2 linked regions of the Callithrix jacchus genome follow. The protein of the gene in region 1 binds, or shares a complex with, the protein of each later gene. Links are inferred from orthologs where the notes say so. Each region holds a gene or a part of one and is shown on either strand. Other genes may lie near its edges. The genes, in order: GABARAPL1 and STBD1.

Region 1 (4,466 bases):
AACAAAAACAAAAAACAAACTTGCTTTATGTTCTGGTAGAAAAAAATCCTGAACCAGGAAGACCAGAGGGACATGATCACATTTTAAATTTAAAAGTAAAAACTGAAATAGGGTAATGTGAGTCAGAAATTAAAAGGAAAAGGCAGAAAGAGGCTAGCATTGTGGCCCAAAGGAACTCTGAGACCCAGCAGTAAGAGATTAAAAACCACAAAGGAAGACAGAAAAAAAGTGATAAATCAGATTGCAATACCTGGATGGGAGGGAGGGGCTAGGAGAGGAAGAGAAAGGGAAGGGTAATCATTAAAACCTTGGTTTCACAGAACCAAGGTTAAGTTTCCAGGAATCCCAATTCTATTCCTCAGTATGGTAGACCCCTGGGCTAGATGCTTTGCCTCTTTGGGTCTGTTTTCCTCATTTGTAAAATGTGACTCATACTCAGTAGGGTTATGAATTTTTAAGAAGACAATCTGTTCCTAACAGTTTTTTTGTATGTTGTATCTATGAAGATAATTTCAAGATCCCATCAACCCTTGCTCTCCGAAGGCACAAGTACACCTATTCTTTCCAACGTGAGCTCTGAAGAAATATTGGTGGGGGTAAGCTCTGGTTATGAGAGCAGTCAGGATACGCCATTGCTTTAATAACAATGGTCAAGTGGGAATGGGCTTTAGGAGTCATTACTATAACCCTCTTTTCTGTAAACAAGGCACTCTAGCACCACAAGATTAAGAGTTCTGCCCAAGGATGCAATGAATTCCCAGAACCAGAACCAAATCAAGGAACCTGCGTCATAACTAGAAAGAAGGTCACAGACAAAGCACTTTGAGAACAGCTCACCACTGGTTAAAACATAACCCTAGGAAAGCTGAAATCCGAGTGACAGTCTTAATGGCTTAAAAATTATCACAGAAGCAAAACATTTAACACGAAAATATGAGCAGGAAAAGAAGAGAATTCACTGAAATATTCAGAGTGAATACACATAAATCACTAAAATATTTATCTAATACTTAACAATGTAAAGTCCACAGTACATCACTAATTCTGGTTAATACAGCTATATTAGAAATTGAGATATATGGCATGGAGGTTAAGGTCTCCGAGAGCTCCACAGTCCATCAGACGGGGTGGAATTCCGGCTCAACCACAGATCAGCAACGTGAAACCTTTAGGAAGTTACTGCATTTCTTTATGCTTTGAACACTCCATCTGTAGAACCGGGATTATAATCGTGTAAGGATTAAGTGAATGATTACAGACTGATACAATAATGCTAGGGTAAACTATCAATAAAACTTGGCTGTCATTTTTAAATATCATTACTCAAAAGTAAGACTGGCATCACCAAAACTGGGCGAAACTTTCACAGCAGGTATCCAAGGTCCAGAAACCAGGAAAGTAATTCGTAAAGGATCCTTTACTGGCTAAGGGTTTTGCACATTCCTTTATAAGCTGAAAACCCTTTTGTAATTCCTGGGGAATGGAAGAGCCCTAATGACTTTTTTTTTTTTTTTTTTTTTCCTTTAAGGAAAAGAGGTACAAGAGGTTTGTACTGCTGGGCTAAGGCGCTGGCGGCTTCTGGTAGCTATAAAACCATGAATGTTAGGTAAGGATTAAAGAAGAAACCCAGAGTGGCTGTGAATCAAGAAAAGACACCAGATAACAGCAATTGTTTTACCATTATGTGACTTGTAACACTAATGTCCCCACATGAAGATCACCGTAAAATCTCCGCTACTCCATTTCCAAAATCCAACAGTTGCTGGTCCCTCTACCACTTAAAAGTCATATTCTGGCCTTCAATTTGGCATCGCAGCCTACATTAGAGAAACACCAGGCAAGTGGGCTTGGGAGGAAAAGGTTCAGAAGCCATTCGGTGCTTTTCTTGCATTCTCTCAGAATTACGGGGGGGGGGGGGGGGGGGAGGACTGGGGAAAACGCCCGGATGCTGGAAGATACCTAATTATTTTTCTCCGTTCCTCCTCACTACCTGTGCTGGTTTTAACTACTTAAGCCGGTGTCCAAAACAGAGAAAAGGAGTCTCAGTCCTGCCTTATCGCGTCCAGGTACCATGTGATCAGAAATCGATACCGGGGAAGGATAGCTGTCTCCACACATGCCCCGGAGCCTAGAACGATGAGGCAAGCGGGCTGTTGCGCAGAGAACGTGACCTTGTTTTCCAGGCCAGGACTGTCCTGTGCTCCCCCACCCCCCTGTAATTCTGAGAGAATGCAAGAAAAGCACCGAATGGCTTCTGAACCTTTTCCTCCCAAGCCCAACGATATGAGAGAGAAAGTCAACTTCATTAAAGGGGAACCAACCAAGGCAGAAATCGACCGGGGCAAACCTCACGGCAGAGCACAATGTCCCTGCGTTCTTAAAGGCAGCCAATCCATGGCCCCGACCTCACCACTCTCGCACACAGGGGCCCTATTTTGTGCACCCCTCAACCCACACACGTCTCAATACTGCTGAGTCACTGCAGACGGCGGCTCGGCTCCAAAAACGCCGTCAGCTCTAAAGTGGGATTCAGGCTGCTGGCATACAGGTTTTAAAAGCTCCGCAGTCTGGACGTCCATTGGCTCTGGCACTGAAGAGCTTTCAGGATTAAGTAATTCATGGAACCCCCCCCCCACCTTCTCCAGAGCGGCCTGGGCGCCCCAGGGCAGCCAACGCTACTCCCCGCCCCCGCCCCCGCGGGCCCTCCTGTCCCATCCCCCCACTGCTCTACACTCACGGGGACCCTGTCCGGATATTTCTTCCGAATCTTTTCTCCTTCCTTTTTCCGATACTCGAAGGGATGGTCCTCCTTGTACTGGAACTTCATAATGCACCGCAGGGCTTGCTAGATCCCCGCGCGGGGCCTGCCTCCTTCGCAGCTGACAGTTGGCCGCGTCCTGCTCCCTCCGCCGACGTCAAGGTGTACTCAGAACAGCTGCAGAAACGTCCGCTCCTGGGGCAACAGCGCTGGGCCGAGTGCGCGGTGGGGGAAAAGGAGGGGGACCTCGGGTGCGCCTGCCTGGAGGTAAAGGAGAGCCAGGTGGAGAAATACCAGCGGCTTTTTCGAAGAGCTGGAAGCACAAAAACAGCCGGGCGGAGCGTCGGCCTGTGACGTCACCCCGCGCGCCACGCCACGCCCCCGCGCGCCAGGCGCCGAAGGCGGGAGGAGGCCGACAGCTCTGCCTCACTGCTTTTGCTTTCTGGCTAACCTTGTTTAAAATCGATGTCATTGCAAACATCAAAACATTCTAGTTGTGTTTTATTTTGTAACCGTGAAATTAAATACGGTTTTAAAACAAAAAAAATATTCTAAACATGTTTTCTTCCCCCTCCACTGTTTTTGTTGGTTGGGCCCCGGAACAAATACAAAAGGCAAAAATCCAGCCTGTCTCTGCTGGTTGGGATCCACCCTCGGGGGAACAGAGGGCCAGGCCTCCTGGGATCCCTTTGGCCAATGCAGAGCTGTCCCGTGCTTGCACCGTGCCCTCTGCGCGTTCCGCTGCCGCTCCTCCGGCGCTGACGTCACTGTTTGGATCCGCGCCGTGGTTCGCTCCTGGAACAGCAACATAAACAGAGCGTGACTCAGGAATCTGAAGAGATGTCAGGTGAAGGACACGGAGCGTAATCAATGTCCAGAGGAGACGTGATGTCAGTAAGGACTACCGAGGGCTTCACGTACAATCAAATATAGAAATGATTCACTTTCTGCCATTAATCCAGAAGGAGGGCGTGTCTTCTGGAAAAGAAAGTATCAAGCAATTTAGGTGATGATCTCAGTTCCCCCACATCTTATTTCTAGTGGTTGGGTATCCCTCACGTGACTAGAAAGCGCCGCCTGGAATGCTAGTGGCAGACTGAGCATTGGGGCAGGTGCGGTGAAGCCTCGTTCTGGCTTTAACCACCGAGAGTCAAACGACAGAGGCCTTCCAACCAGTACTGTAGGCAGCGAAGGGAGTGCTGTGGAGATTGTAAAAAAGAACAGTGAAAAGGGACTGCTTTGCCCACACAAGTCGGGTGAATTCTGAAAAATGTTAGACACAGAAGCCCCATGGCCTATCTTCTTCAATCCGGGTCGCAGTGTCTCTAATTTTAAAAAACACACCCACAGGGGGCCGGGCGTGGTGGCTCACACCTGTACTCTCAGCATTCTGGGAGGCCTATACGGAGGATCGCTTGAGCTGAGGAGTTCAAGACCAGCCTGGGTACCATGGCAGAACACTGTCTCTACAAAAAAAAATACAAAAATTAGCCAGGCATGGGCACCGCTGTAGTCCCCGCTACTGGGGAATCCCTTGAAGGCTGGAGAATCCCTTGAACCCGCGAGGCGGTCACTGCACTCCAGCCTGGGGAAAGAACGAGACTTTGTCTCAAAAACAATAAATAAATAAAAATGAAACACGTACTCTGAAAGTAAAAGAAACTAAGTTACATTACTGGCACAGGAAAATGTATCATATAGTCCCACT
Region 2 (4,585 bases), on another chromosome or scaffold:
TTCTTCTACAGCTTCTCCAATAGTTTGCAAACTGAATCAGTGAATCCCCCACCATGCGTGAACCACCTTATCCTCATGGCCAGTCTCTAGGAATCTATTGCTGCATTCTTCCCAGCGAGTAACTCCCCCATTCTCTACCAACACAAACTTCCATTCCACCACTGTATCTGCAGGCAGGAAAATGGAATGAGACCAGAACCCATCCTTGCTATAGGAGAGTGGGATGTATGTGTTCCATCTCCCAAGACACTCATGGTCTCCAGTTATTGCAATGAATTGCACATCAGTGCTTGTGATATAATGGACCTGGAACCTGACACTAACTTGCTGAGACCCCGCAGGCATCACTGCTACCTTTTCTGTTTTCCCATGCAATTGCCAACCTCTTGCTTCCACCAGAGTGCTTCTTCCATTGTCCATTCCCTGTTTTGGGCTTAACACTGGAGCCTCAAGACTGCCAACATCCCCCCAAGACGAGTGCCTAGACACCATTTCCCACTCCTCGTGGTCAACCCGGTCCTGACTGTTCAAATGAGAGAGGCTCATTTCTTCTTTAGCTCTGTTCGTGAGCAGGTTGCTAGAAGGCAACTTCTCTGCAAAACATGTAGCTGCTTTAGCAGATGTCTCTCGTCCTTTTTGGAATCCCCATTCTCTCATAGGAGATTCAAGGCTTTCATTTCTTGAAACTTCAGAGTGACTCCTAGAGTTACCAGTCTCAGAAGTAGCTGGAGCATCTGTGTCTGGAAACTGTCCAGAAGGAACATGTTCTCTTGAATTGTCACAGACTTCCCTGGAAGGATTCTGCAATCTGCATGCTGCTGCCTGCAAGCTACCAAGGTCTTTGGTCTTAGAAATCAAATGTCCATTGCTTTCTTGAAGATGCTCTAAGAAATAAAAGGAAAAATGTAATAGAGTCAGGTAGTTCGTGTAAGAAAAAAGTTAGGTTGAGAAAATAATTTGGTTACTGAAAGGTTCACTACTAGTCAATCTGCAATTCACAAAGTCCTCCTCTATTAAAATCAAGTACAGCTTCATTAACCAACACTGTGCTCTAAGAATACACATGTATATCTGACAATAAAAGGCACATCCAGGAGAATCAGTGTGCCAGCACAAGTGTAAATGAAATGGTAAGCTCTAGAGGCAGACGTGTAACCCTGTCATGGCCCCTGGTGTCCACAGTCCAGGCCATACTGGCATGCAGCCAAGTTAAGTTGCTTGGCTCCTATCATCAAAGAATGTCCAGGCTGTGGGGCAAAAGGCTGCGTGGCCACCTTACAAACCGGAAGAGTACACTTATACTCTCAGGGGAGGCGTGCAGGGCAGGGATTGGCTCTCACAGATCTGTGGGCAGATCAGCAGGAGCTGTCACTGTGGGGAGATACGAAGGACAGTAGTGCATGCCTGGGATGCAGGAGTGGAGTGGGGGAAGGGGCTGGTTTCTCCTTGCCAATCCCATATTCATTCGGAACCTCCTCAGCAAAACAGTGTTTTGTACCCCCTCCCACTGTAAGCACTTTTTAAAAAAATGTTCTTAAAAATACAAAATCCAAGTCCTCTAAAAATGTGGTTTCCTTCTTGACCACCCCATTGGTAGTCCAAACAAGACTGAAATCTCCAAATCGTACATACAATTAGCACAGCTGTGGTTTTATGGGGTGGGGCGGGGGGGAGGGCATGGGGACAATAGTCTTGTTTATCTCGTTTTAATGGTGGAGTTGGAAGTGAGAGTGAACAAATATTACTATGGATTCCCAACTTTTCAACCTAAAGCATGAGATTGGCCTTCAGGAAAAACAAAAAGATAAGTGAACTGTCTAGGCATCCCCGACCAATCATACTAAGGGCACACGGGCAGATTTTCATATAGCTGCACATGAACACCACTGGGCTAAAAATAAAGTTCACAGATGTCATTTTCACCATTAAGCTTCTGTCCAGGCAAGGGCCGCTTGCCACGGGAGGGCACTGGAAGGTAAGGTTTTTCTGCCAGTGTTCGCTCTCTGCTTAGCAAACGGTCCCTAAAATACAGAAATTTAAACCTAGATACCGGTTCTACTCATCAGAGCTGGGACTCCTATTTAAGTAGTCCCTTCCCAGGGATGGCCACCTGGCCCTGTTCTGGGGCAGTGGGAGGGGGGTGGGGGGAACTGCCGACAGTGCTGAAACCGGTCACCAAGCACAGCCCCAGGGCCTCAGCCATGGCCTTCATGGCCAGAGTCCAACCTGAACTTTGCCTTCCTGAAGAAGCGTCCAGACAGCACGAGGCGCCCGCAGCTCGGGTGTTCCCAAATCCAGCTCTTCCATGGGTTGTGCGATGGGAGGATGTGAGACTACCCGGATCAGGACTGAGAAAATGTCCCGGCTTGGGCAGAGTTTGAAGAGGCTTGTAGGATCCCCCCCAAATCTAAGCCCTCTTTTCCAAAGGCCGGGAAGGGGCGCCGCCACGGCAGCCGCCCGCACTGCACCAAGCGCCGCCAAGTGGCGGAGCTTATCCCCGCCGGAGGGGCAGAACCAAGTCCGCAGGCGCGGGCGCTGAGAGACTCGGCAGGGCGCGGCCCTTGGAGGACCAACCAAAAAACCTGCCTGCGCTACCAACTAGCCTGGGAAACCGAGGGGCGTGGGGATGGCCCAGACCCCTTAGGGGAGCCCTCCGCAGGAATGGGCCCCTAGGAAAGCTCTAGGTAGATTTGCCTCTTTCCTTCCTTCCTCGATGAACCTCAAAGCTATGGCAGATGTGCCCTGGAGTCACAGGAGTGAAGAATACCTGATTTGGTGACCAGCTCCTGCCTGGAAGGTCCAGGGCTCAGTCCGCTGCTGCCACTCTGATCACCTCCCGGAGCCGCAGCTCCCCCAAGAGGGGCGTCCTTCTCCTGCTCAGCGTCCCCGTCCTTCCCAGTGTCCCCAGAGCCGCCCCGCAGCAGCCAAACGAAAAGCGCTCCGGCCAGACCCCCTCCGACCAGCAGAGCGGACCAGACGGCGCCCATGGCTGAGAGGCCGCGGCCGCGGGAGACGACGAGGACTGGGGCTGGGGCTCAGGTCACGCAAGCAGAGCCACACCTACCCCGCCCGCTCCAGCCTTTTACGGTTCCTGCGGCGGGCGCTCCGGCGGAGCCCGGCCCAGCGCGACCGGTACTCAACTTTCCCGGCCCCGCCCCGCTCCCCGCCCCCAGGCTGCAGACCCGGGCTCCCTCCGGGCGGAGACTGGAACGCTCTTCCATCTTCTGTTCTCCGCCCTGCCAGTTGCTAGCGGCCGGGGTCGCAGGGGGCGGCGTTCCACGTGTGTCCCGCGTGAAGAACCCAAGTGCGCACTGCGCGCAGCCAAGACCTGCCCCACCGCACTTCCTTCTCCCGCCCGCTGCCCTCAAGGCCTCGCCCCGGGCCGGGCACCTCGGCGCCTCCACCCCAGGAAAGCTTAGCAGCAGCGCGGCCAGCTAAAGGCCGAGAGCTTCCTGGAACTTAGAGGTGGGAGAGGCCGCGGACGTCGGTGACGCGCGGGCCTGGGCGCGGGCTGAAGAGGTGGCGCGTTCGGATGGGGTGGGTGGCCGGGAGGACCGGGGCAAGGTGAGGGGAAACTGGGAGCCCTAGTGGAAGCTCCACTCCGCCACCAGCTCGCCGCGCTTAGCCTCCCCAAGCCTCTGCCTTCCCGCCTGCAAAATGAAAGGACTGGACAGAGGACCGTCTATCTAAAGATGCCAGTCAGCCCAACCACATCCAGTCTCATCCTCCTTGGGCGTGTATGGATGGTGCGAAATGCGCGCCCGACTGTCTGACCTGGATGTTGTCCATGGACGAGTGCCTACAGATAAGTTTGTTAATAAAAACAGCAGCTCTTTATTAAGCACTGTCTGTATTCCATATGTTTTATGTATGTATTTAATCCTCACAAGACAACAACCCCGTGCGCTGTTATATACATTTCTTTGTAAATCCGTTCCTCTGCGGATCTGATGACTTTGCACAACAGCTTCAAGCTGATGATCCCCACGTCTATGTCTGCAGCTCACACCTCTTTTCTTGGACTCCGACATTCAACAGCCAGCCCGCCTTGGAATAATTATTAGATTGCTGTCTCTGATAGGACAAATTATCAAATGTGCCCCTTGCTCCGAAAGGACAGTAGCCCTTAACCCGGTGCAATGCTGTGCCAGTGAGGTTACTGGAGGGCCAAAGCTGCCTTGATGAAGGTCACAACTACAACTTTGGCAATCATAAGGGAGGGGGTAGAGGAGAAGTGAGGGCAAAGACTGCCAACTAGGCATCGCCTTGTGGGTGTCTAATAGACATCTCAAACCCGACTTATACAGACCTGGACTCCCCACCTTCCTCCCTAAACTTATTCCTCTCCCTACCTTCCCCATCTCAAGAAGTGGTGACCACATCCTTCCCATTGCTGCAAAGCAAAACACAGCCAGCTACTACTACCCACTGCTTTCAAACCAGCGGTCAGCCTGAGCCTGTTAAAACACCCCAGGTCTCTGCTCAACACCCTCCAGTTGCTCCATCACAAGGAAAAACCCTACAGGGTCTGTTCCCCATGACCACTGTGTGCTCACCTCCATCTTGTCACATCCAGCCACACTGG

The links.
Region 2: the proteins of GABARAPL1 (region 1) and STBD1 are in contact, whole or in part, in a crystal structure (PDB 8X8A), measured with the Homo sapiens proteins. The link is inferred for Callithrix jacchus from reciprocal best matches to the Homo sapiens genes GABARAPL1 and STBD1. Residues at the interface, in NP_113600.1 of Homo sapiens: Glu17, Ile21, Tyr25, Asp27, Arg28, Pro30, Val31, Ile32, Lys46, Lys48, Tyr49, Leu50, Val51, Pro52, Asp54, Leu55, Gly58, Gln59, Phe62, Leu63, Arg67, Phe104; in NP_003934.1 of Homo sapiens: Glu201, Glu202, Trp203, Glu204, Met205, Val206, Pro207, Arg208, His209, Ser210, Gly213.

Annotation. Positions count from the first base shown.
Region 1 is NC_133510.1:12,779,679-12,784,144, forward strand, and holds the start of GABARAPL1 (gamma-aminobutyric acid receptor-associated protein-like 1), read right to left. Parts: upstream 3,088-4,466; 5' UTR 2,828-3,087; coding exon 2,738-2,827; exon of another isoform or gene 2,297-2,737; intron 1,861-2,296; exon of another isoform or gene 1,495-1,860; intron 1-1,494. UniProt on the Homo sapiens protein: Ubiquitin-like modifier that increases cell-surface expression of kappa-type opioid receptor through facilitating anterograde intracellular trafficking of the receptor. Involved in formation of autophagosomal vacuoles.
Region 2 is NC_133504.1:121,770,482-121,775,066, forward strand, and holds the start of STBD1 (starch-binding domain-containing protein 1), read right to left. Parts: upstream 3,025-4,585; 5' UTR 2,988-3,024; coding exon 2,768-2,987; intron 885-2,767; coding exon 37-884; 3' UTR 1-36. UniProt on the Homo sapiens protein: Acts as a cargo receptor for glycogen. Delivers its cargo to an autophagic pathway called glycophagy, resulting in the transport of glycogen to lysosomes.